4 linked regions of the Saccharomyces cerevisiae S288C genome follow. Changing the gene in region 3 together with the main gene of any one other region gives a genetic interaction. Each region holds a gene or a part of one and is shown on either strand. Other genes may lie near its edges. The genes, in order: VPS71, CSM3, MRC1 and SWC5.

Region 1 (7,436 bases), on a different chromosome or scaffold from region 3:
AGGTTTTGTCATCACATCAGCAATGTTCTTCTTGGTCTCGATGTAGTATACGTATAAATTATTACCTGATACTTCATCTCTAAGTCTCATTGCCTTTGTGCCAAAAAATCTGTTTCTAAATTTCTCTTCATTTGTAGACTTAATTATACTGATCGTTGATCTACTATCAGTAAGTAAGCCTTTAATAATTGGTTTCTTGTTAAGTTCTTGTATCAGGTAACTTAGATTATTTAATAATGGGACAGATTCACTTATCGCGTGTATTTCTGCTTCCGTAGTTGAAGTACATGTTAATGAAGCCTTGGTGGACTTTCCTCCAATTACCTTTCCATTAAGTAAATATATGTTGCCAATTTGTGATTTATAATACGGTTGGTTGCCATACGAAGCATCACTTATTGCGACTAGTTTATTATCTGGCTCGGTAGGTTTGTTTTTGTGCCATATCAGTTGTTTATCTCTAGTGTCCCACATGAATTGTATCAACTCATATGTCATGTCTAAAACTTGCCTAGAGGGGAATAGTATATGTTGAGCAAGTGTGTTGATGTAGTATAGTAAGTCAAATCTAAATTTATATCCAACATATGAAGCTAGACCAATCAACTTTTGCATTTCATGTACCTTCTCTTTGTATTCATCTTCATCTATTTCTAGTTCATCCTGGTCTATATAAAGACCTGGTTGACCTGGAGCGCTAAGTTTTCTTCCTTTTGGATTCAAAGGTACGTTTAATTTGGGTATTTTCTCAGTTAATGAGTTTTCCATACCTAATTTCATGTATTTACCTCTTTGATATTTGATTTCTAAGCCAAGTATGTCGTACTGAATTTCGTTATCACTTTCACCCAGATTTATTATCTTTGTATCGTATTGTTTCTTGAGTGTTGTTATGATTTTCTTATTTGCATTTAAGTCTTTGCTGAATAAAATCATGTCGTCAACAAATAAACATATTGTTACTTGACTATTCTTAAATACGCATGACCATCCACGAACTTCTTCCATACCACACTGTTTTATCAGGTATGATTTGATAGTTTCGTACCAGTTCGCTCCACTTTGTTTCAATCCATAAAGTGATTTCTTCAAACGTATCAACTTATCATTCATTCCTAAATGTGGTGGAGGTCTTATGTATAATTCTTCTTTGATGTCTGCATACAAATATGCCGAAGATATGTCTAATTGTGTAATATAGTAGTTATTGTCTAATGCAAGTGACAGGGATGTCATTAATGCATAGTGATGTACGGTATTGGATTGCATGCCTGAGTCGTAAGTGTCAGGATGCTGAATATCACCTCTTGCAACAAATCTAGCTTTATGAGTACCGTCACGTTTCTTGTTGAAGATAAACATTGAGTTTATTACTCTTTTAGGGTCTATTTCTTTTCTGTCATAATATTCGTCAGTGTCCCAAGTTTTCATCTTCAACAGTTGATTGACTTCTTTGTGGTATGCCTCGATATATTTTTCTTTTTCTTTAATATCTTTATTATAGGTGATTGCCTCATCGTATCGTAAGGTTGTCCGTATTGGTTTGATTGATTTTACTGCTTTTACAGCTGCAATCAGGTGAATTCGTTTCTTCGATCTCGGAGGTTCTAAACTACGCATATTCTTAGTATTCCATGTGTCTCGTGATACCTTAATTTCAGTTTCATTATCTTCTAATGATCTTTTCTTACTGTTGATAGTAGTATAGGCATTAGAGTCACCAATACCACCCAAACTGGAATTAGTTTGATGAGAATTTATCGGTGGGAGTTCTTTAAATGGGTCAGGGAATTCGGTAGGAGATTCTGGAGGTAGATCAGGGAGTGGGAGATCAGCGATGATAGATTCCTCGGTATTCTGTTCAGAAACAGTAGTTGGCGTTTTGATAGGAACAATATTGTGCGATGAATTATTTTCCGGTGGAGAAGCATCGATTGAAGGTGAACGGTGTATAATCCTTTTCTCAGTCTCTTGGTCACTTATCTGCGGAACAGTTTTGTTGTTGGTACCACCCGTACTGGATATTGGTACGTTTGTATGATTAGTCTCATTTTCACTGTACGAGTCTGAGTGTCTGAAATCTTTAGATTTACTGGCGTGCGACGACTCATGTGTGTTAGATTGGGACATGGGAGCAAGTAAAGGAACATTTAATTTATGCATACCACCCGAACCGGTACTCTCGATATTGGAAATTTGGGGGGTGCTAGATCTCTTCTTTGATGGAAGAATATTAGATTCAGATATGTTGGGGTCAACTTCTCTGGGTGCGCGAATATTGGTTTTAGAAACACGTTTCGAATCTTCAGTATGAGTTGACGGAGGTGTGGAATCGGTTGGACTCACAGCTTTTGAAAGGACATTTCTCGGTTGCTCAGGATGTAGTTCGATGTCAGATTGGAAGTCATGGTCAGATTCTATGTTAAGATCATCGGATTGTTGGATCTCATTTGACGCAATGAACGATTGATATGAAGCAGTTAAACGGTTTAAGTCTTCATCGAAAGTGAGTGCGTCGTAATTGAATTGATCTAATCTGGATTCCTTGCCCTGAAGAATAACATAGTTAGTTGTATCTACTGTCTTCTTTAAGGATGGAAGATAGATGATATATCCATAAGAGTTTCGAGACGGATGTAGAGCGTAGCCTGGGATGCCACGAGGATGTATTTTGGAGTTAGGGTTGTGATCATTGACGATAACAGGTTGACCGAAAGGTAACAAAGTACTGATATCAAGTCCTGCCAAGCCAGCATGTTGTCTTGCAGATTTTTTGCTTTTAGGTGAAGCTAGTGAATTTCTCACAATAGTAGAAAATTCGATTGCAGAGAACCATAAATGGTTCGGTAAACCACTACATTGCAGTTGAGTACGGCAGTCATCTAATAAGGTACGGTTGAGCCGTTCAGCGACTCCATGTGCTCGGGAATCCGCTGTGGTTGTATAGCATGGAGTTATACCATTTTTTTCAAGGAATTTATGGAGAGTTCTGTTAGTATACTCAGAACCACGGTCCATTTGTATAACCAAGACACTGGCCTGAAACTGGTTCTTAATAAAAGCTAGTATCGTAGTAAAAACATCGAGGATAGAGTCCTCGCGACGGTCGTGTAATGGATAAACCCAACGGAATTTTGTTGTCTCATCAGTAAATGAGATGAAATAGGATGGTGCACTTTTTGGTAGGTTGTGAACTGGACCAAATATGTCAGTATGTAGGTATTGAAAGGGTTCGTATGAATTTTGGTATTTTAGTCGTGAACCTTTGATATGTCTGTGTTTGGTGCTTTTGCCGATTAAACAATCAGGACATTGATAGTCAATAGCACTAGACCTGTCGACATCTGATTCGTTAAAATACGTGATGGTGTTATTTTTAAGTGAGTATCGAATTGTCTGTGCATTGGCATGTGCAAGCATTCGATGAATGAAAGGATAAGGATATTTGCGTGTACTTTCACTTGTATGGACATTATTGATGGTGGGTACGGAGATATTTGATGGAAGCAAGTACTTTTTAGATACCCAGTAAAAGTCTCCATATTTTACGATAGGTGCAAGTACAGTGCCGTCAGATCGTTCTAAGACGTTTTTGGTAAAGCATGCTGTGATATCTACTGCAGCCAATTCATTCAAACTGAGTAAGTCATAGGCTATGTTAGGAGTGTGCAATACCTTTATTGATGTTTTGGTGTTGTCCTGGAAGTGAAATTGTAGGTCACCAATAGCGTTAATTGGTATATTTCTTTTTTGAGCATCAACTACGTTTATGTCAGGATTAGATGATGCTGAGTGTATGTGATGAGCAGATCTTATAAGGGTTCGTGATGCTCCTGAATCGAGAAGGAGGTGTCCAGGGAGTTCATCATCAGAATGATTAGTGTGATTTACCGTAGATTCAGTAAGTTCCTGGCCTAAGGTGAAGGTCGTGCTTATTGTTCAATTGAATCGGTTCAGTAGTTGATTTACTGATGGAATCGTTGTCCGTGCTGGGAGAGTTATTAGATGTGGATACATTGTGAGCCCTGGCTGTTTTCGATTTCGAATTATTTGTTTTTTGAGGATTCCGAGCTATAACTTTGGGTTTGGTTGTATTCGTATAGCTGCGAGAATCATTCTTCTCATCACTCAGATTTCTCCTGTAATTAGGTTTGCTGTTTCTCGATCCCTGTTGTTCTTCATAAATAGCATGGATATCTAAGAACAGTTCAGCGACTGTCATATTTAGATGTCGATGACGTGTGTAGCGTAAAAATTTATATTCGCCAGATAGACCTCTCATAATTAATTGGCATGCGACCTTGTTATTGATATGAATGCCATTATTGTTCAGTCTGTCGATAATGTTTGTGACTTTTGTTTCAAATGCATCTGCAGGTGTACTGCCATTATATTGCAAATTTGCCAGGGTCACAATGTCGTTTGCCTCTTGGGTATCAGATTGCATTTTTTCAATACTTTTGGAAAGAATTTTCATGATATCCGTATAATCAACGGATAGGATGTCTTTGACCCAGGTAGGTAGGAATTGAGAGGGAGCAAATATTTGAAAAGTGTTATACAAGAAGGTGAGTTCATCATCAGTGATCTGACGTACGGGTTTTCCGTTTACTGTCGGAATAATACCACCGAGATTCGAGTTTTGTAAAAATTTGATGTATGTTTTAACCCAATTTGGAAAGTCATTAGGTGAGGTTAACATTGGTGGTGGTCTGACATATTTTTTAGTGGATGTCATATCAGAGTCCGCTGAGGATGAATCAGTAAATGTATTACCTGACTCAGGTGATGGAGTGCTCAGAGGCGTTCCAACTGATGATGGATACTGCGGAAACTGTGATTGTGGCCCAGGTGGAAAGTACATAGGCGACATTTGATAAGGTGTATACGGAATCATAGATGGGTGTCCGTAAAATGACCAACCAGATGGATTGGCTTGGTTTTGGGTCATCATGCACTGCTGTGGGTACGGCCCATTCTGTGGAGGTGGTACTGAAGCAGGTTGAGGAGAGGCATGATGGGGGTTCTCTGGAACAGCTGATGAAGCAGGTGTTGTTGTCTGTTGAGAGTTAGCCTTAGTGGAAGCCTTCTCACATTCTTCTGTTTTGGAAGCTGAAACGTCTAACGGATCTTGATTTGTGTGGACTTCCTTAGAAGTAACCGAAGCACAGGCGCTACCATGAGAAATATGTGAATGTTGAGATAATTGTTGGGATTCCATTGTTGATAAAGGCTATAATATTAGGTATACAGAATATACTAGAAGTTCTCCTCGAGGATATAGGAATCCTCAAAATGGAATCTATATTTCTACATACTAATATTACGATTATTCCTCATTCCGTTTTATATGTTTATATTCATTGATCCTATTACATTATCAATCCTTGCGTTTCAGCTTCCACTAATTTAGATGACTATTTCTCATCATTTGCGTCATCTTCTAACACCGTATATGATAATATACTAGTAATGTAAATACTAGTTAGTAGATGATAGTTGATTTCTATTCCAACAACTAGTAACACGAATACTACTAAACAAATGATATTTTAGAGTTCCATTTCAACATTATGCACTCAATATTCATTATTGTTGTTAAGGGCTTAATATTGTAGTTGTCAGAAAACTTTTACTATTCGGTGATTCCTTAGTGGCTAAGATTCACAAGTTCACAAGGGCGTGTGGTCTAGTGGTATGATTCTCGCTTTGGGCGACTTCCTGATTAAACAGGAAGACAAAGCATGCGAGAGGCCCTGGGTTCAATTCCCAGCTCGCCCCTTTTTTTGATATTTTTTTTGGAGTATTACAAAAACGACCATTCATTAAGGAAGTGAAGTCGGTGGAATAGCTAGAGAGCTTATATTTATTTAGTCGTTGCTTTATGTAACGAAGCAATCAATAAAATATTTGTGTTCTGTAGAAATAACTTTGATCCGGGTAATAGATAATTAATAACTACTTTTTTTATAATGAACATGATGATCTTTGTGAGTATTAACAAAAGTCGAAGCGGCCCTTTCAATCTATAGTAACGTCGATATCATTGATAGATCGAAGAAAAAGAACGGATCGCTTACTCATAACAGCGAAATGAAGGCGCTAGTTGAAGAGATTGATAAGAAAACTTACAATCCTGACATATATTTCACGTCATTGGATCCTCAAGCACGTCGATATACTTCAAAGAAGATTAATAAGCAAGGCACAATATCCACCTCTAGGCCCGTAAAGCGCATAAACTACTCACTGGCAGATTTAGAGGCCAGGTTATATACTTCGAGATCTGAGGGAGATGGCAATAGTATAAGCAGACAGGATGACCGAAATAGTAAGAATTCCCATTCATTTGAAGAAAGGTACACACAACAAGAGATTCTCCAGTCGGACAGGAGGTTTATGGAACTTAACACAGAAAATTTCTCGGATTTACCAAATGTACCGACTTTATTAAGTGATCTCACAGGCGTACCACGAGATAGAATTGAATCAACAACCAAACCGATCTCACAGACCTCGGATGGTCTCTCTGCATTAATGGGTGGTTCTTCTTTTGTAAAAGAGCATTCCAAGTATGGTCATGGTTGGGTGCTTAAACCAGAAACCTTACGGGAAATACAATTATCGTATAAATCTACAAAACTACCTAAACCAAAGAGGAAGAATACCAATCGTATTGTGGCGTTAAAGAAGGTTTTAAGTTCAAAAAGAAATTTACATTCGTTTTTAGATTCTGCGCTGCTAAACTTGATGGATAAGAATGTCATTTACCACAATGTTTACAATAAACGATACTTCAAAGTGTTACCCCTAATTACGACATGCTCTATTTGCGGTGGCTACGATAGTATTTCAAGTTGCGTTAATTGTGGAAATAAGATTTGTTCTGTAAGTTGTTTTAAATTGCATAATGAAACTAGGTGCAGAAATAGATAGTAATGATCAGTATGTATTCGTAAGCCCTTTTTTCTCCCCTATTTATACGTATGTAAGTGTAGATACTTAACAAAAATATTCACAAATTAATTGAAGAGGAAAGGTGAAAAATTCATAACTTTGCTTTTCGTTTATTCTCATTTTCCAAGGCGTCAAAAATTTCATCAGCAGCTTGAGATAAATAATAGTGTAATCTGTTAACACTGGCTCCACTCTTGGCTGGTTTGTTGACAATATTGATATGCAGCCACTCGTTATTCAACATGTATGCCAGTCCAAACCCGTTGTCATTTACTTGAGACCAACCATAACCGTCAAAATATTCCGAAGATAGTTGAGATGTGGAGATCAACCAAGTTGAAGAATAATTAAATAAGGGATCTTTGAAAAGGGGCGGAATTTGGTCATCATTAGATTTTAGCATATTCTTTAGACCGAAGAAATGACGATCGACACCATTACCATTTGCAGCATTTTTCAGGTACGTAGAATGCTCTTTT
Region 2 (3,067 bases), on a different chromosome or scaffold from region 3:
TAATTGCGTCATCGTTTGACAAGAGAGTTTTATGGCACGACCTGGATTTGGCTAGCACACCTTACAAGACACTAAGATATCATGAAAAAGCCGTCAGAAGTGTGAATTTCCACAAAAAGTTACCTCTATTCAGCTCTGCCGCTGATGACGGTACCATACATGTTTTCCATGCCACTGTTTATGATGACATGATGAAAAATCCGATGATTGTGCCACTAAAGAAACTAACCGGTCATAAAGTAATCAATAGTCTGGGTGTTCTTGATGCTATTTGGCATCCGAGGGAAGCTTGGCTGTTTTCTGCCGGTGCTGATAATACGGCTCGCTTATGGACCACCTAGATAAATAATTTGAAGTAGATATTGTATAATAACGCCCAAGAAGAAAAAATCAAACACTCGAACCAGGCTCTTTCTACAAGCTTTATTTACACAATATATATAAACCTATATGTATAGATGCCCACACGCACGTTTGGATTATTACCTTCAATGACATTGCTAAAAGCCCATTTCCTTCATAGCATCCAACTCATCTTGATCTACGCCAAACTCATCTCCCCCTGGCAATAAATCATAATGAGTATGTTGTCCCTCTATATCATTCATTTCCCACTCTTCCAAACTTTGAATCAGTTGAACGTCTTCTTCAGTCATAGAGCCTTTTTCCATTTTTCTATGCGCATCTAGCCATCCTAATAAGAGCTTCTTCTCATTTTCTTCAAGGCCAACGGGCCCTTGTACCCTGAATGTCTTCAATAATGCATCCAAATCTTCCTTAGGCGGCACAACGTTGTTAAGTACCGTTTCATTATTCCCACGTTCGTCCAAAACTCGTCCTCTTCTGTTGCGATAAGAAAGGTGATAGATATCGTCATCTTCGTCATTATCGTAATCGACATTGTTTACATTCCTTTTGTCTTGCGCAAAACTATCTGCGACAATAGGCCTCTCTTCCGCGGAAGTGACATGTTCTTCAACCATAGGTGATTGTCTTTCCAGGTCTTGCCCAGTCTCCCGTGTGCCAACATCGAAACTCATGCCCATCTCGTCCCTAAAAAGGCTGACTCTATATTCTCTAAGAACTGGATCTGTTTTACCTACTGTTTGACAGATCTTCATAAAATCCTTAAATTTTGCCTTGGGAAACAATTCATGTGCCCAAAGCTGGTAAAACTGAATAATATTTGATAAGTTGTCATATGAGTTTTTTTTTGAGGAAATTCGTATCCTTTTATGTGCATTTTTCAAAACATATGGTAAACCTTTATCACTGAGTAGTTTTTCGGCTGTTAATTTTACTTGAGGCCTTCTCTTTCTAGCTGTAATTGCGGTTGGATCCGCAATGGTAGGATCAACTACTGAACCATCCAAGCCATTTGGTACAGTTGGGTCTTTTTGGACACTATCGGAGTCATTGAAACCTAGTAATAAACTGTCAAAATCTTGATCCATGACCTCAATAAAAGTTTCTGTTCACGTTTTCATGGCATTTTAATCCAGTATATCATTGATCTTGTTACGCGTCAGTTTATTATTGTCACTTTTGCAGATTATCATTACCCGGCATTTTTCCTTACCATGCTCATTAGAAAAAGAACAAAACTAAATTATACTTAGAGTTAATAAAGTGTCATAAGGTCGCAAAGGAAACTATCAGCATTGCATAGAGATCCCGGCAACTGAGAGGCACCATTCAGCTTCGAAGATTTCTTTTTTAAAACATTATTATGTTTGGAGTTAGCCGTGGCGCATTCCCCAGCGCAACAACACAGCCATTTGGCTCAACAGGATCAACCTTTGGTGGCCAACAGCAACAACAACAACCAGTAGCAAACACTTCTGCTTTCGGCCTCAGTCAGCAAACAAATACAACACAAGCACCTGCGTTTGGTAACTTTGGTAACCAAACTTCTAATTCTCCCTTCGGAATGTCAGGCTCGACTACAGCAAATGGTACTCCTTTTGGTCAAAGTCAATTGACGAACAACAATGCCTCTGGCTCGATCTTCGGTGGAATGGGTAATAACACAGCACTTTCTGCTGGTTCCGCTTCTGTTGTGCCCAATTCTACTGCAGGTACAAGCATTAAACCTTTTACTACATTCGAAGAGAAGGATCCAACCACAGGTGTCATCAACGTCTTCCAAAGTATCACCTGTATGCCTGAATACAGAAATTTTTCTTTTGAAGAATTGAGATTTCAAGATTACCAAGCTGGTAGAAAATTCGGTACCAGTCAAAATGGCACTGGTACTACTTTTAACAATCCTCAAGGAACTACCAATACTGGATTTGGAATTATGGGTAATAATAACTCCACTACTTCTGCTACAACAGGAGGATTATTTGGTCAAAAGCCAGCAACAGGCATGTTTGGAACCGGAACTGGAAGTGGTGGTGGCTTTGGCTCTGGAGCGACCAACTCTACAGGATTGTTTGGAAGCTCTACTAACCTCTCAGGAAATTCTGCATTTGGAGCAAATAAACCTGCCACTTCCGGGGGATTGTTTGGTAATACAACTAACAACCCAACAAACGGCACTAATAATACAGGCCTTTTCGGCCAGCAGAACTCAAATACAAACGGAGGATTATTTGGTCAACAGCAAAATTCATTTGGGGCGAATAATGTCAGTAACGGGGGAGCCTTTGGTCAGGTGAATCGTGGTGCCTTTCCCCAACAACAAACACAACAAGGTAGTGGTGGTATATTTGGTCAATCAAACGCTAACGCAAATGGTGGCGCTTTCGGCCAACAGCAAGGCACTGGTGCTCTTTTTGGAGCTAAACCTGCTTCTGGTGGACTATTTGGACAATCTGCTGGTTCAAAAGCATTCGGAATGAATACCAACCCCACTGGTACCACTGGTGGCTTATTTGGGCAAACCAATCAGCAGCAAAGTGGAGGAGGGTTATTTGGCCAGCAACAAAATTCCAACGCTGGAGGATTGTTCGGTCAGAATAACCAAAGCCAGAACCAATCCGGATTATTTGGACAACAAAACTCCTCAAACGCATTTGGCCAGCCACAGCAACAAGGCGGATTATTTGGAAGCAAACCTGCA
Region 3 (8,095 bases):
CCCTTTATACAAATTCTGTGCATTGCCGGCCTAGAAATATGTCAACGTTTTGGATATGTTGATGCTTACTTCGAGAAATCTTACACTAATACTTCTGGAAAAAATCAATACTAGCAAAATAGTGATATATGAGTAAAATGTATGTAGTACATGTATGAAAATTATCAAGGGCAAATTGATGCTTCAACGAAAAAGTTATTGGATTTTCAAGCACTTTTTAAATTCACAATATTTTTTTCTGGAAATATGAAATTGTCAGCGACTTCTATTACAGGAGTGTCTTTTTTTCTCATGCTATCCAACGCTTCTTCCAAGTCCTTTATAGTATTAGAGGAGCCGCCACAAGCAATAATTATCACAATGTCATCCGCAGCTAATTTTGAGCCCAGTGCATTTTCTAGGATCTTAGTGTTGTAACCCAAATGCAATGCGGCGCCACATGCCGGTTCAATCACCATATTGAATTGATGTGTATATTTAAGACAGGTTTCAATAACATCTTTGTCCTCTATTACAACGGATCTGGTGTTGTATTTGCGAGCGTATTCGAAAGTTTGATTAGAGATCACGGCCGTTCCTAGAGAAGTAGCAATACTTGTTATCTTCTTGAATTGAACTGGTTGGCCTATTTTCAAAGAAGTATTGAAAACATGACATCCATTCGTTTCCACCCCCACAATAGGGATCCTATCAGCTAAACCATACCTTTCCAAACCTTGAATAATACCATTGTATAAACCACCTCCACCAACGCTGCATACTATGCCTTTAACCTTATTCACGGAAATATGTTGCGATTTCAAATCTTGTACTATTTCATCTATCATAGATGAATGTCCTTCCCAAATATCCGGATTATCGAAGGGATGAACATAAATGGGCTCAATGACCTGAGAGTCTATTTTATTCATGACATTTGTTTTTAAAAAAGTATCTGCTTCTTTCCAGTAGGCACCACTCACGATAACCTGGGCACCGGTGTTCCTGATTTTATCTACCATTCTCTTCTTTGTCGCTGTAGGAACCACGACTGTACATGGTAGAGACAGTCTTTGACATGCTGTTGCAGCAGCAAAACCGGCATTACCGCCAGAACTAGCGAAAACCTGAGGAGATCTTTTACCGTCCTTTTGAATTCGAATGGCACTTTTCATGATGAGATTACCGATTCCTCTACTTTTGAAGGAGCCACTTGGTTGAAGGCATTCATATTTCAAGAAAAATTGTGCAGAAGCCTTTCCGGGGAAGAATTGACGTAATAATGGTGTTTTATTGTAGACTATCGACATCTCGCTGGTTAATTTTCCTGTCTCTTGTCTATCCAGCACTTAAAAAAGAGAAAACTGTATAAACATTTTCCTTTTATTTGGCGATATTTATATACCTGTGTTCCTCCTCATATTGTCCCTTTTATCTTATCTCATCGCAAACAATTTGATAAAGCTTTGGCACTATTTAATGACACTCAGTGGAATTACATTTCCGCTGGGGCTTAACAGGAGCCGCCCATGCGGAATCATGTCTCCGCGCAGAGGACTCATTAGTTTCCGTTCGCGGTGATTAGTACTCGCGAAAAGAGAAAAAGAAAAATAGTAGGAACATTTCGCAATTGATCAAAATGTAAACAGTGCAGTAAAGAATGGGACCATAAGATAGATAAGAAACAGCTCGCATAAGGAAACAAGGACACATCGATTAATGGCAACCCAAGCCCTAGAGGATATCACGGAGAGGCTTTTAATAAGGTCGCAAGAGGCTATCTTGCAATTAGATCTGTGGATACAACGTCAGCAGAGATCATCAATATGCCAGACAACAGATCAAGAGTCATTGGATAAGTTATCCCAACAGTACAACCAGTATATGTCTCAACTGAACTCTTTGTATGTTAGATCGGAATCTGTTCGAGACAAGTTGAGCAAGGAACAACAACGCAGATTGATCACAGAGGATAATGAGCATCAACGCATAGAAGACTTGGTTCGTGAATTCCAGGATATCACTTTGAGGTTGAACGAGCTGGCCACCGTCCCAAATGAAGCGCCTAATGATTCTCCACAATCGCAATCCACCAGAAGTAGTTTAGGGTCATTTCAACCTCGACCATTGAAAATAATTGAGAGGCAACGTCTGTGTATGGTAACTCCATCGAAACCACCAAAAAAATCGGTAGGCTTTAACCCCATCAATGAAGTCGATTGTCCTTCGAAAACTAACTCTTTACCGTGCTCACCTAAAAAACAACCTGCAAGAAATCGCACTTTACGTGCAGCCAAATCACATGATACTGGCTTGAACAAAAGTAAGAAACCGTCTTCCTCGGATACGTATGAGTCTTTCTTCAAAAATAGACAAAGACTTTCGTTGACCTTCTTTGATGAAATGGATGATGAAGATTTTGATTCTGATCAAGATACTATCATTCTACCAAACATAAGTACCCCTCCACATGTTGGTGTGACCGCAAAGGGTGCTGAATTCGAACCTTTAAGGAGATATAACTCTCACGAAAGTATACTATCTAACAAACCAGCACCTTCTAAGTCGCTCAATCTGGGAAGTTTCTCCGCCTCATTCTTCAGGCCATCTAATCCGACGTTTGGAACTTCGATATCAAATGTCCAAGTGAACTGTCATCCAACTGTTGCAGCGACAATGGCTCCTAGTCGTAATGGTCCTCGTATTTCAAGTTCTAAGGCGTTGTTATCATCATTCATTGCACGATCAGATACACATACGGTAAAAGAGAACAACACAAATCTTAAGCATGCATCTTTTATGGATAAGTTTAATTCATCGTTAAGCACAATATCAGAATCTTTTCAAAGTAAGAGGGGGAGAAAGAATAAGGGCATGAATGAAGAACGAATATCAAATCATAATGTAGCACAGGAACAAAAAAATAATATGGATATAAGCGTCTCTATAGAAGAATTGCAAGATGCTTTGAATACAGAACTGCTGTTTTAATTAATGCCTCCTTTACCTAACCTACTCTTCTTTTGCTCCAAATGTTTATTCTTTTTTTTTTTATTCAGAATATCTTCAAGTTTTTTTGTATCTTTTTGTATTATTATTAAACTTCTTTATAATATTTGTCTTATAAAATCCTATCATAACATGACTATGGCTTGGCCTAGACTCGGGTGCCATCTTTTTTAATGCGACTACTTCAAGACAGCTTCTGGAGTTCAATCAACTTCTTCGGAAAAGATAAAAAACCACTAATTATCAAAGCTATCTTGTCCGCTTTCAAAAAGTTTATTCGATTTTGTTTTCGTTTTCATTTTCATTTTTTTATTATGATGGTCATGGTGGTAGCGGTGGCTCCCTTCAGTTTTCCTCTTTGGTGCTATTAATTTTCTCGTTTTCCCCATATATGTGATAGAAGCTTTTGAACTCCCCACTGTCTTGTAAGACTTTAGAATCTTGACTGTCTTGTTACCTTCTTTAAACTTATCATTTATGTCTGTTCTGGACGCAAAGGATTTGATTATTGATGGATGTTTGAAAACGCCAACTAGTGATGTATCTCCATTTTCCACCTCATCTTCATCCTCTGGGCGCTTTTCTAAGTCAATTATTGTGTTTACTGTTTTTGAAGTGGTCGAATCAGTTTGAGAATTTGTGAATGACTTTATCGAACTATTCTGTTTTAGGGTATATAAATCTTCAATTGCTTCATCATTGCCATGTTGTATCCTTGATAGCTCCTTATCCGTTTCAAAATCCTCATAATTATTACTTTTTAGGAAGGATAAGCTTTTCTGCACAAAGTCTTCAGATATGATAACCTTTTTGTTCTTTTGATCTACAGGTTTCTGTTCATTATTTCCCGTATTATCACCTACATTAATGCTATTGTCCTGAGTATCTAGGTCAGTAGCCGTACTTGTAATGTCTAGGTTATATTCCTCTTCAGCCCCGAAGGGGTTTTTATATTCGATAATATCTTCCACCATACTTTCAAAAAATGCGCTCGACTTTGGGTTTTTAACAAGCTTTGCATCATCGCCAATTTCTAATCTCCTTTTTCTCATCAATTCTCTCCTTTTGAGACGATATTGTTGTAGTACGTCGTCTTCATCATCATCACTTAGTTCTAGCTCTAAGCTATTTTTTGCTCTTTTATTACGAAATCCTCCATTTTTAATGTCATAAAGAATTTTGTTTATCATTTTGATATCCATTTCCTTATTTTCTGCGGCAAGCATTTCTCTGATTTCATGAGGATTGAAATTGTTCTTGGAATAATCATCGATCATTTTTTCTAGGTCAGAATCATAGTCGTCAGATCCTTCTCCATCTGCACCACCGATACCATGCCATTCATCCTCGGATTCTTCGGCTTCCATTTCAAAGAAGTTTGTGACACCTCTTTTCTTCAACTCTTTTATCTTAGCCTCGTGCTCCTTTTCTTTCTGTTTTAGTTGCAATTTCTCTTTGTCAATCAGCTGACGGCGAATTGCTTCATCAGCTTCTTCATTGACGTATACATCATCTTTGACTTCATTTTCGATTGTATTTCTTTCGGCCATCACCTCTTCAATGTTTTGTGTATCTAGAACATTGGTTTCTTGAAATTTGTCGGTATCCTCTCCGATATTATCACCGTAATGGCCCAGATTAATGGCGATCCTTTTCGGTAGACTTTCATCAGCTTTCTCTTTGGGTTTGGCTTCGACTTCGGTATCAGAGTCTGATTCGTTAATGATATGTTTCACGTGGTGGGATTTTTTTTGCTTTAGAATAATTTCATCATCTTCCTTTTCACTATCGGATTCTCTACGATTGTCATTTTCACTACCAGATGATTCATAATCGGCAATTTCATTACCACTCAATGCAAATCCAGAAGACTCTGACCCTGAGTCAGAACCGGAATCATGGGCGTTCAATTGAAAGTCATTTTCTTCAAGTTTTTCCCTTCTCTTCTCTTTTTGTCTGATTCTTTTATTTCTAAGAATTTCTTGTTCTAGCAAGTTCTCTACTATTTCCTTTTCTTTGGCCATATCCTCCAGCTTCAGACCTTTCGTTTCAATCACTTCTTTCTGATGATCCAGAATTTGTTTCCTGCTAGCTTTCCTTAAGGTATTTAATAGTACATTATGATCAACTTTTGGGTCTTTACTTTTATTCGGCCTTTGAGACAACTTTTGATTTTGTTTAGAGAGTCTTGCCTTCAGGTTTAATATAGTCGCCTTTGATAACTGAGAGATTGGCAAAACGCTTTCATCTTTGGATAATTTAATGCTATCCATATCATCATCTCCATATTCGTCACTGTCGCTGTCGAGGTCCAGTGTTATGCATTTCGAGGAGTCAATTTCCCGTTTCAAATTATTAGCATAGGAGCTCAATAGTGGAACCCTTTTCTCATTTATTCTTGTCTCATCAGTTAGATTTAATTCAACACTTTTGTTCTCATGCAGTTCATCGTCATTCTGTACTGGTTTTGGATGTGCATTTTCCAGCTTTATATCATCGTCCTCATTTGAGGACGAATCGTCAAAATCAGCAAGAAAAGACTCTTTAGAAAAAAATTTTTTGGTTGGTATTGGCTTTTGCGGTTTTTTGTATTCGACATTTCTAGCTTTTTCCCTTTTAGAATCTTCTGAAGCCAATTCGCTTTGTATTTCCCGAATTTTTAATGTGTGTGGTACTTCATCTTGAAGTGTTTGTGCGACTGTATCTATTTGGGTTTTCTGTTCCTGATGCGTAGCCTGTGGAATACCAATTGCTTGTGTCTTATCCTCATCATGCGCAGTCTGTGGTGGTACATCCATTTGGGTGTCAGGACCACGATTTTGAATGGACTGAAATAAAGGACTAGTTCCAATAAGTTCCGTTGGAATTATAGGAATTTTCGGCGACAGAGCATTAGAATGATTGCTGGAAGTCGTAATTATTTGGGATTGTGGTTCAATTGATTTTATAGGCTGAGTTTGTGAGGTTGCACCGCTGCTATCTATACGCTGTGTAGCCCCTGGCCGTCCTGTCGTGAGAGGTGTTTTCAGCGCTTGAGAAGTTTCGTTGACGAGACCATCTTCTTTGATTAATTGGGTGGGTTTCCCGTCATTAACGGAATGGATAGGTACGTTAAACACCTTGTCTTGTTGGATGCTGACAGGTATTCTTTGCGTCTGCGTGAATGAAGAAGAGACATTTTTCTCACTGTAACTATTATCTTTAACTTCGGATTTCTCCAGCTCTTCACCACCATCGTAAAGATTAGAGATTAATTGAGTTGGTAACGAATTCTCACTCCTATCTTTTCCATTATTGTGATTCTGTTCGGGTGCTTTCTTGCCTTCTAATCTGTTCTTAACACGATTTAATGTGGCATTGGCAAATAAAAACCCGTTCCCAGTCAACTCTGGCGGATTGTCTATGTCATTGGGCCCATTTCCATTAGTATTATCGTTCTCATCTAGTATGGGAACAGCAACTTTTTTGTAGGTGGTAGTTCTCTTCTTTGCAGTCAACGAGGACAAAGCATGCAAGGCATCATCCATCACTAAAATATTTGGTGATAAGTTCAAAAGCGAATAACGAACTTCCTTAGTTGTTTGTCTGTTCTTGGTTTTTTTCCAACATAATGTGTTTGAAATGCTATTGAAGCAAACGCGTTTTACGCATTCTATCTCTTCATGACGCGTCGAAGAAGGATAAGGAAAATTTCAAGTATTGATGTATATCTCTCTGCATATGAGAGCCAGTAGAGTTGGTGTCCTAGTAAGAATTTCTTTCACTTTACAAACATATCTAAGTAAACGAAATGTGTGTGTGTTTCTATATATATATAGACATATATGAAGGATTCCGTAGCGGTGTAAACTAATTTTGGTTTGGCTTGTATGCTTCTTCTTCCGGAGCTATGAAATCTTTTGCTCTCTCTTCCTGCCTTTCGATTTCTCTTTCCATTTGCTTTTCCTTTTGCTCATTTAATTTCTTCATTTGCTTTTCTCTCTTGCTTAAGAAATACTCACCACTTTCAATTTCCAAATCAACCTTTCTAGGCAATTGGGCAGGAGGAAATGGAGTATAGACCTTCTTTTCGACGTTTCTGATCTTCTTGGGTTTCTTTCTGGCCACATTCCTCTTCTTAAACATGGGCAAGAATCTTGACCAATCTTCATTGGCTAACTCTGGCCTTTTTGCCAATTCTCTTTTTATCATTAATTCCTTGATATGATAGATAGGGTGAATATTTTTCATACAATCTTCTACTACTCGACGGACCTCCTTCAAGCCCTTGAAGGGACCCATGGCACTTACTGTGTTACCTTGTACTAGAATGTAACATTTAGTTAGAAGTTCCAAAGCCTTTAAAGTATTACCGTTAGGGCCTACAAGACGTTGTCTTCTCTTGACAAACCTTTCTTTGTTAGTAACGAAATTACCAATTTTAATAACGTCGCATGCCATGTCATCTTGTAGGATCTTAACGGCTTGCGGGAAAGGAACGGATCTCGCCAATAATTTGATCAAATCTCTGGCTTTCAAAATGATAGCGGGATCGTATGTTTTTCTAGTTGTTTTTACTGTCATAGAACCTTCGACTAAATCTAGAACACACGCTATGTTGTGTTTGTCTAGAGCCCTTGTTACATCATTCCAAATCGTCTTCAAGTAACTTTCTCTGTATTTAGGAAACAAAGTCATAAAACTGGACTCTTCAGCAAAAGGTTGACCGGATGCGTTATCCTCTTCCTTAAACTCCTCTATCTTCCATTTATCAATATCATCCGTATCCCAAGGTTTATCTCTGTTATGTGTAGACACCATCGTTTGCCAATTTGGATATTTGTGTGACCCTTTTGTTTGCTGTCTACTTTACAATAGTTAACCTCATCATCTCTTTTTTTTGAAAATTTTCATATCTCATCGCTAAAAGAATTAGAAATATAAGGAAAAAAAAATTTTCGTTTTCAGATGTGCAAGCCTGCTATAATAAGGTACAATAACTCAAGGGCATTTAGCAAGGAAAAAATGGGCAAGTGTAGCATGAAAAAGAAAGGTGTGGGCAAGAATGTTGGTGTTGGCAAGAAAGTACAAAAAAAGAGGTCGATCAGCACCGCTGAAAGGAAGAGAA
Region 4 (7,525 bases), on a different chromosome or scaffold from region 3:
GATTCTGAAGTTCTAAAAAGCATACTTTGGCAAAGTCTTGCGTCTTACTGACAAAAGCTTGGAGGTAGCCGCAAGCGACTGCTGATGCACTATTTAACCGTGCCTTCAGATATTCGATAGCGCATTCCTTCTTATTGTTGTGGTGGTGACCGTCTTCAGAGTCAGAATTTGGGCTAGCGTTACTGTCGTGTTTAGCACTGGGGAAAAGAAAGATGGTCATAGATGATATACGTTAGTCAAAAGAGAACCGGGAGAAAAGATTAGGCGATACGTTTCAGATATTAGTGTACATACGTTGCAGACATATTATGAGATGCTGGAGGTAGATGTTATGTTTCTAATTGTTGGAATAGGGTTACGTCGGCGGTTTCGGTTGAAGTGGGCACATTGATCGACACTTTATATACGCAGGGACGATTAACGGGAGAGGAGGTAGCGGCGGCGTCATTGGCCGCTGGCCCGGGGTAGTAGGGCAGGGAAAGGGGACGGTGAAAAAATAAAACGTAAGTGGGACAGCAGAGATTTGAGGAGTTGAGGCAAGAACAGAGGAGAGAACGAGAAAGCGGATAAGCAACAAAGGAAAAGGAAACAAGTAAAAAAAAAAAAAGAGACTAGCATGAGAAACGAATTATACCAGTTATGGTGTGTGGCGAGTGCAGCAAGAGGGGTAGCCAAGAGCTCATTCGTAAGGGCCAATTCGGCCATGTGTGAGTACGTGCGCACGTCCAACGTCTTGAGTCGCTGGACTCGGGACAGGCAATGGGAAGCAGCTAAGGCCCTATCACAACGGGTCAAGAAAGAGTATGCCGCCAATTAGTGCACACACATACATATATTTTATATACTTACATATTTGGTTGCGTGGTATATAGAATCTCTCCTTTCGCTTCATGAATGAACTCATTCATGCGAAGTCAAAGGAAAAAAAAAATAAAAAAATAAAAGAGCGAACGGGAAGACGAGAGAAACATCAAGCGACCAAAGTAAAAGTCAAGAACGACTCCACAAGTGCGAGGGTCGCGACGTCTCTAACTTTAAAAACAGGCGTCAACCATCAAGTCCGTTTCTTGATGCCGCCGGCATTCTTCAAATCCCTCCAAAAAAAACGCCTCTATGACATAGGCGGTTAATAAAACTGGCCTTGAAACAACAGATGCAGTCATGGCTCTTCTCTTTTCCCAGCAAACGCCTTCCATTGCCTCCTTTTTTTCTCTTCCAGAACTCTCTCAGCAGTATTCTCACAAACACATCTCCTCCCCTTTAGCAAACCTCCATTTATATCCTGCGAGAAGAGCTCCTTCTCCTCAATGAGAAAATAAGCACAAAATAAACTGGGAAAAAAAATATAGTAAAAGACGCCAGCACGTTAACAATGGAACACTCTTATTGTAGACCAACCCCACCCTACACCCCCTCAAACCGAGGACACTTCAAAAGGAAAATCAACAACTTTGGCCGATACTTGGGGGATAAGCAAGCTTATCCTATTACATCAAAAAAAGAATCGTAAGACACCTTTCCTTGCAAACCAAAAATCATAACAAAGTCGAAAAACTTCCTCTTGCAGCGCCACCAGAAAAAGAAGACGAGCGAAGAAATCAACAATAAGAGCGCCCCATCCGCACTAGCACCCCATACCATAAATATTATCTCCCAACCTACTATAGCACCATTTCTTCCCATCGATAAAGAAAAACCAAATCCCGCGTTGGACATAAACGGCTCGGAAAGACAGGGAAGAGTATGAAGCAAAAAGCCAAACTAAGGGAGAAACAGAAAGCTAAAAAAAAGAAAATAGAAAACAACCAGAAGAAAACAAAAACAATAACCTTGAGCAACCGTCGTCTCAAAAACCAATTTCGAAAAACCATCATAAAAACGCCTTATGAAGAAACCATGAGCGAAGAAAAATAGCAGCAAAAAGTAGTGAGACCTGACATTAGCGGAAAACAACTTGCTTAAAAAGTCTCTTCCCGTCCATTTTATTATTTTGGGTGCCAAAAAATGTGTATTGTAACAAATTAAAAGGTAATGAGCCTCATTGAGGTCATTTCAGTTGTTACACTGAAAAGAACAGATACTACACTTGATCTAAGCCAAAAGGCAAAGAGATTCGTGGGGATTTAAAAAAAAAACAAGTAGAAACAAAATGAATAAATCTGATAACAAGTAAAGTACTCATCGATGAAAAAATGAATGTAGAGCCCTTTTTATATGTTTTCACCGAGTGGCCCATCGGAAACGGCAAAAAAAAAAAAAGAAAGAAAAAAGAAAAGAAACATAGAGCGTTGCTAGGTTTTTTTTGCCACCCACACCCATACACCCCATTACTTTGTCTGCAGCATCGTTATACACGTAGTGAAAGTGTGCAGGCCTCGGCGGTTAAAAAAATTTGAGCAGAAAAGCATGTTATTTAATACATGTAATATTTGTCTATGAAGCTTCGCTATCCTGCTGCAACTGCTGAGCAAGTTGTTGCCGGCGCAATTCTTTGTATCTCTCGTCCTCTGCAGACCCGACCCGCTGCAGAAATTCTTGCCGGGCCAAGAACCCATCCTTGTTGTGCAGCACCAATTCGTCGTTAAGTCCAGCACGGTCTACATAACTAGCCCAGTCCAGCTGAGATTTTTCTAATGTCGTTAGCTTGGGTCGTAGCCCGCCAGAAATGATCTGCTCCAACAATGGAGGCCTTTTCAGTGGCCGTCGCAAGTGTTGCCGGCTTTCATTGGACTTGGTCCTAACTGCTTTTTCCAGTTGAACAGGAGCAGCAGGCGCCTGCTGCTTAAATTTCAAACTGTTTAGATATTCTTGACCCTCCGCACTGCTGCGTGAAACCCATTTTTTCTCATGGACAGTTTCACCAGCAAACTTGTAGTTTCTTTCGATGAGGATTTTGTCCTCCTGTTGCGCGGCCGTTGTCGACCTAGCCTCCTTGGAACCGTCGAGAACAGAGCCGACTTTCCCTGAACTGCTCAAAAGACGGTTCTTACTAGCTTCCTGTAGCTCCTCCCAGATGCTGTTTACTTTTGCAGGGATCGATTCAACAGTTAACGATTCATACTTATGTGTTTTCGCATATTCTTCCTCAGCTTGCCGAGCTCTTCTAGTCTTGATCAGTCCGCCGCTCTCGCTCTCTATACGCGAATAGTCCACTTTATTTCTACCCTTATCTCTGTTCACACCGTCATCATAGTCGTCACCGCCATCGCTGGCATCACTATCGTCGCTACCACCACCTAATTTATCTTTTTCAGGCTGGAAGTCCTCGTCCTCCTCTTCTATGTAGCCGTCCTCGTCCTCGTCCTCCTTTTCGTTTGGTATAATCTTTGTCTCTACTTCTGGCATTTATAGGCTAGTGGGTTTTCTTTCTTGAAACAATATTATTCCAGTTTACGCCTTTTCGTCTTTTTTCTTACTTGTCGATTAATCCTATTCATCATCTTTAAACTTCGCTCTTTAATTCACTTTTTTTTGTCTTTCCCCGATATGGTACTTACACGAAATATCATGATACAAAAGAAAACACGTACATACTCGTCAAACGATAAATACGCACCTAGTCGTTAGCCGCATAAGTAACCTTTTTCATATTCAAACTTATCCATAGCCACATCCACTCTAACAATTTTAATCGTCCAGCGCGGCATTAAATAATCTTTCTGTAATACTCTTTAGCTCAATTATGTCCACAGAGACTACAAAACCATCAATCACTACTACACCAACTACTGTACTCGTTTCTCCCAACACGCTCAAAAGGAAAAAGGGTGAAGACACCAGCGAGGAACAACTGGAAGCAGAAATCAAACGCGTGGCCCTGAAGGATGCAGACAGCCACTCTGACAACGACCACGATTCCCCCGACAATGTTCCCTCTGATGTACATTTACGAATGCTGTGCTTAGTCAAACACGCTTCACTGATAGTAGGACACAAGGGCGCCACTATATCTAGAATAAAATCCGAAACCTCTGCTAGAATAAACATATCAAATAATATCAGAGGTGTTCCTGAAAGAATTGTTTACGTGAGGGGTACTTGCGATGATGTAGCCAAGGCATACGGCATGATAGTAAGAGCGCTGCTTGAAGAACATGGTAACGAAGATAACGGGGAAGACATTGAGATTTCTATCAACCTATTGATCCCTCATCATCTTATGGGATGTATAATTGGCAAACGTGGGTCTCGGTTAAGAGAAATTGAGGATTTGAGTGCAGCAAAATTATTCGCGTCCCCGAATCAATTGCTGCTTTCTAACGATAGAATTTTAACCATTAACGGGGTTCCGGATGCTATCCATATTGCTACTTTCTACATTAGTCAAACATTGCTAAACTTTCAGATGGAATCTCCGCAGAAAAATGTGAAAAGGTCCATATACTATCAGCCAACTCAGTTTAACTCAGTATTAATAGACCATAGCCAACCGAACACCATTTTCCATCAAAGAAACCACCAATATCATCCAAGCGATAAACTACTTTCATACAAACCCAACAAAAATTTACCAATATCATCTACTTTGTTGAGTATGGCCACACCGCAGTATACTACTGCTAGCGTTGCAAACGCAACGGCCTTTCAACCGAACTTCGTTATCCCTAATGTGACAGTCTTAGACGGCCCTGTTATCAGTCCGGCACCCGGCAACCATTTATTAATGAACTTTGTACAACAAGAGATATTCATAGATGAGAAATTTGTCGGAAATGTCATTGGCAAAGATGGCAAGCACATAAATTCGGTCAAGGAATCCACAGGTTGTTCAATTATTATACAAGATCCTGTAGAAGGCTCTTCGGAGAGAAGACTTACCATAAGAGGTACGTTCATGGCGTCCCAAGCTGCTATTATGTTGATTAGCAATAAAATTGAAATTGATAGATCAAATGCTGAACGTAAAAGAAGGTCGCCCCTCTAAATATACTGCTAGTCAATAAAAACACATAGAAAATAAAAATACAGAAACTACAAAAGGCAAAAAAAATAAAAGAAAAGGTAATAAATTGAATGAATGTAGATATATAAATATCAATAGAAATACGTACGCGGAATTATTTCTCTTTGTAACAAATTGATCAAAAGCTTTGTATTTTTTTTTTTTTTAGCTCGGCTGCGCGCTATTACAGTAATTACATGTAAATAAACTATTCCAAAGAATACAAAAGAAGAGCTTACAGTAGCCAGTCAAAGTCGCTGTGAAACATACACGGCGTTGTAGTCACAGTATGGAACACAATCTTTCACCTTTACAGCAAGAAGTATTGGACAAATACAAACAGCTTTCTTTAGATCTAAAAGCTCTGGATGAAACTATAAAAGAACTAAACTATTCGCAACACAGGCAACAGCATTCACAGCAAGAAACTGTATCGCCAGATGAGATACTACAGGAGATGAGGGACATAGAGGTCAAAATTGGTTTAGTTGGGACACTGCTAAAAGGTAGCGTGTACTCGCTTATCTTGCAAAGAAAGCAAGAACAGGAGTCTTTGGGTAGCAATTCTAAATAATGGTTTGGTGCAAGAAATTGATTCTGATGCTTTATTTTTTACGGTACACTACATTGTGCTGTGAGTTGTAATAATATAGTCTGTATATGCCAAGTGAAGAAAAAAACAATACAAACTCAAGGTGTATTATGAGGTAGGGAATACACATAACAATATATATATATACGTATGTATATTTAAATTGTATAAATGACGATCTTACCGTCTAACCCACAGGAAGAGACTTGTGTGATTTGGCCGTTGGATTCCGCAAAAGGTCTTAATTCCACAATGGCGTTTTCATGTGCACTTTCTTGGACATCTGTGCTAACTTTACCTTTCAAGTCTAATTCTTTAAACTTTCTCAATGCGGAAATACCGAAAGTTGAACTTTCATCATTATTACCACTCAGCTCGTCTGTATTACCAGATGCAGTTAAGGCAGAAGACTTGTTATTGTCTGATTTGTCTAGATTCTTCGCAAATTTCCAGCCTTCAGAGGCTTCGCTGAACAATACCGGATGACAAGAGTATCCTCCACAAACAATCTCGTGGTCGTTTATCCATACTAAGGACCTGTAAGGTAAACCTTCCGGAGCATTGACAGATTGCACTGGAGATTGGTAATCGACAACATTCAAAGTACCATCATGCGCTACATAAGCAATTCTTTCCATCTGACTTCTCCATTCCACATCATGGATATAAGAACCCTGATACCACTCCCTGATTAAACAACCAAAAGGGAATTTCTGGCCCCAGGGTGATCCGGCGACGGATTCCTTGGAATCCAAACCCTTGATAAACCCGCTGAACACACGCATAAACCCATCAGTACCACCAGCAGCTAATAGGACTCCATTTGCATGCCAAGACAGGCAATTGATGGTAGATTTGATGGGTTTCTTGATGTGCTTGGATACCCACCAATTATTCTCGTGTTCGTAATAACAAACAGCGATGATTCTAGCACTGGACCCAACAGCAAACTTATAACCATTTGGTGCCCATGTAACTGAAGTAGCTGCTCTGTTAATACGAAGAAGTACTAACGTGGGCTTGTATGTCCCATCACTCAATGGCTCCCAAACGTAAGCATTACGGTCTTGGGAGCAAGTCACAATACGACCATGTATGGAAATGTCCACAGCAGTAATGGTTTTATCATGATCTTTCAACGTTGCGAATAAAACGGGAGGTGTGTTGTTTGAAACTCTATAGACAAGACAATCTGTTTCGCATGTAACGGCTAAAATAGATTTATCTTGAGAAAAGCAATGAGAGTAGATTGGCGCTTTGACCAGCTTGTAGACGGCAACAACGGACTTGTCTTTAGAATTGGAAAATGACATTAGGAGACTCTCAACTAATATACGTTTACTTCGGCTTATTTTTCCTATTTTTCTTTGTTTCTAATCTGGAAGCTTTCTCGATCAAGATTGCTCTTATTTGACCCTTTTTCATTATAGGCAAGGCGCGGGCGGGTGACAAGAAGATTTTGATAATTGTGCAACTGATAACGTAGGATTCATTATCAACATTGTTGTTAAAGAGTAACAAGGAAATCTAAGAAATGGTTGTGCTTGTTGTCGAAGAAGTGATAGAGACAGTGTTTTTGCCAGCCAATTCTCTTTAAGAATAGGCCTTTCTTGTAGGATTAATGGTTAGTAGGTTTTATCAGATTCCAGGTACGCATCGGCCATCGTCGGCAATATCTTCTTCAAATGAATCTTCTTCACTGTTGTCTGCAAGGAGAATAAGTCAAACATATTTCAATTATCAGGCGACCCCTGAATGCCAAAAAGTTTCCTCTAAGTATGATCCTGATAACCCAAACAAAGATAAGTTGGGAACATACGATGGGGTATTTGTGCCTACTGCTTTAAACGTATTGTCTATCCTTATGTTTCTTCGTTTTGGCTTCATTTTGGGTCAGTTAGGTATTATATGCACCATCGGTCTTCTGCTATTGAGTTACACTATTAATCTTCTCACCACGTTAAGTATATCTGCTATATCTACAAACGGGA

The links.
Region 1: mutations in MRC1 (region 3) and VPS71 together harm fitness more than expected from each alone (negative genetic interaction), as found in Saccharomyces cerevisiae (6 studies listed by BioGRID, with this or other methods).
Region 2: mutations in MRC1 (region 3) and CSM3 together harm fitness more than expected from each alone (negative genetic interaction), as found in Saccharomyces cerevisiae (12 studies listed by BioGRID, with this or other methods).
Region 4: mutations in MRC1 (region 3) and SWC5 together harm fitness more than expected from each alone (negative genetic interaction), as found in Saccharomyces cerevisiae (5 studies listed by BioGRID, with this or other methods).

What each region holds. Positions count from the first base shown.
Region 1 is NC_001145.3:194,413-201,848, reverse strand, and holds VPS71 (Vps71p), read left to right. Parts: upstream 1-6,093; coding exon 6,094-6,936; downstream 6,937-7,436. Other genes in the region: YML040W (gag protein), read right to left, coding at 3,899-5,221; carnitine O-acetyltransferase CAT2, read right to left, coding at 7,049-7,436. UniProt on the Saccharomyces cerevisiae protein: Participates in the catalytic exchange of histone H2A for the H2A variant HZT1, an euchromatin-specific factor, leading to chromatin remodeling and changes in transcription of targeted genes. Indirectly involved in vacuolar protein sorting.
Region 2 is NC_001145.3:365,368-368,434, reverse strand, and holds CSM3 (Csm3p), read right to left. Parts: upstream 1,455-3,067; coding exon 501-1,454; downstream 1-500. Other genes in the region: ribosome biogenesis protein ERB1, read left to right, coding at 1-341; FG-nucleoporin NUP116, read left to right, coding at 1,730-3,067. UniProt on the Saccharomyces cerevisiae protein: Forms a fork protection complex (FPC) with TOF1 which is required for chromosome segregation during meiosis and DNA damage repair. FPC coordinates leading and lagging strand synthesis and moves with the replication fork.
Region 3 is NC_001135.5:15,592-23,686, forward strand, and holds MRC1 (chromatin-modulating protein MRC1), read right to left. Parts: upstream 6,516-8,095; coding exon 3,225-6,515; downstream 1-3,224. Other genes in the region: L-serine/L-threonine ammonia-lyase CHA1, read right to left, coding at 207-1,289; VAC17 (Vac17p), read left to right, coding at 1,699-2,970; ribosome biosynthesis protein KRR1, read right to left, coding at 6,838-7,788; FYV5 (Fyv5p), read right to left, coding at 7,932-8,095; ADF1 (Adf1p), read left to right, coding at 7,993-8,095. UniProt on the Saccharomyces cerevisiae protein: Required for normal DNA replication. Phosphorylated in response to DNA replication stress. Phosphorylation allows it to mediate the activation of RAD53.
Region 4 is NC_001134.8:679,746-687,270, forward strand, and holds SWC5 (Swc5p), read right to left. Parts: upstream 3,346-7,525; coding exon 2,434-3,345; downstream 1-2,433. Other genes in the region: OM14 (Om14p), read right to left, coding at 1-197, 295-305; COQ21 (Coq21p), read left to right, coding at 617-817; telomere maintenance protein PBP2, read left to right, coding at 3,683-4,924; DAD3 (Dad3p), read left to right, coding at 5,232-5,516; ARC40 (Arc40p), read right to left, coding at 5,693-6,847; VHC1 (Vhc1p), read left to right, coding at 7,156-7,525. UniProt on the Saccharomyces cerevisiae protein: Component of the SWR1 complex which mediates the ATP-dependent exchange of histone H2A for the H2A variant HZT1 leading to transcriptional regulation of selected genes by chromatin remodeling. Involved in chromosome stability.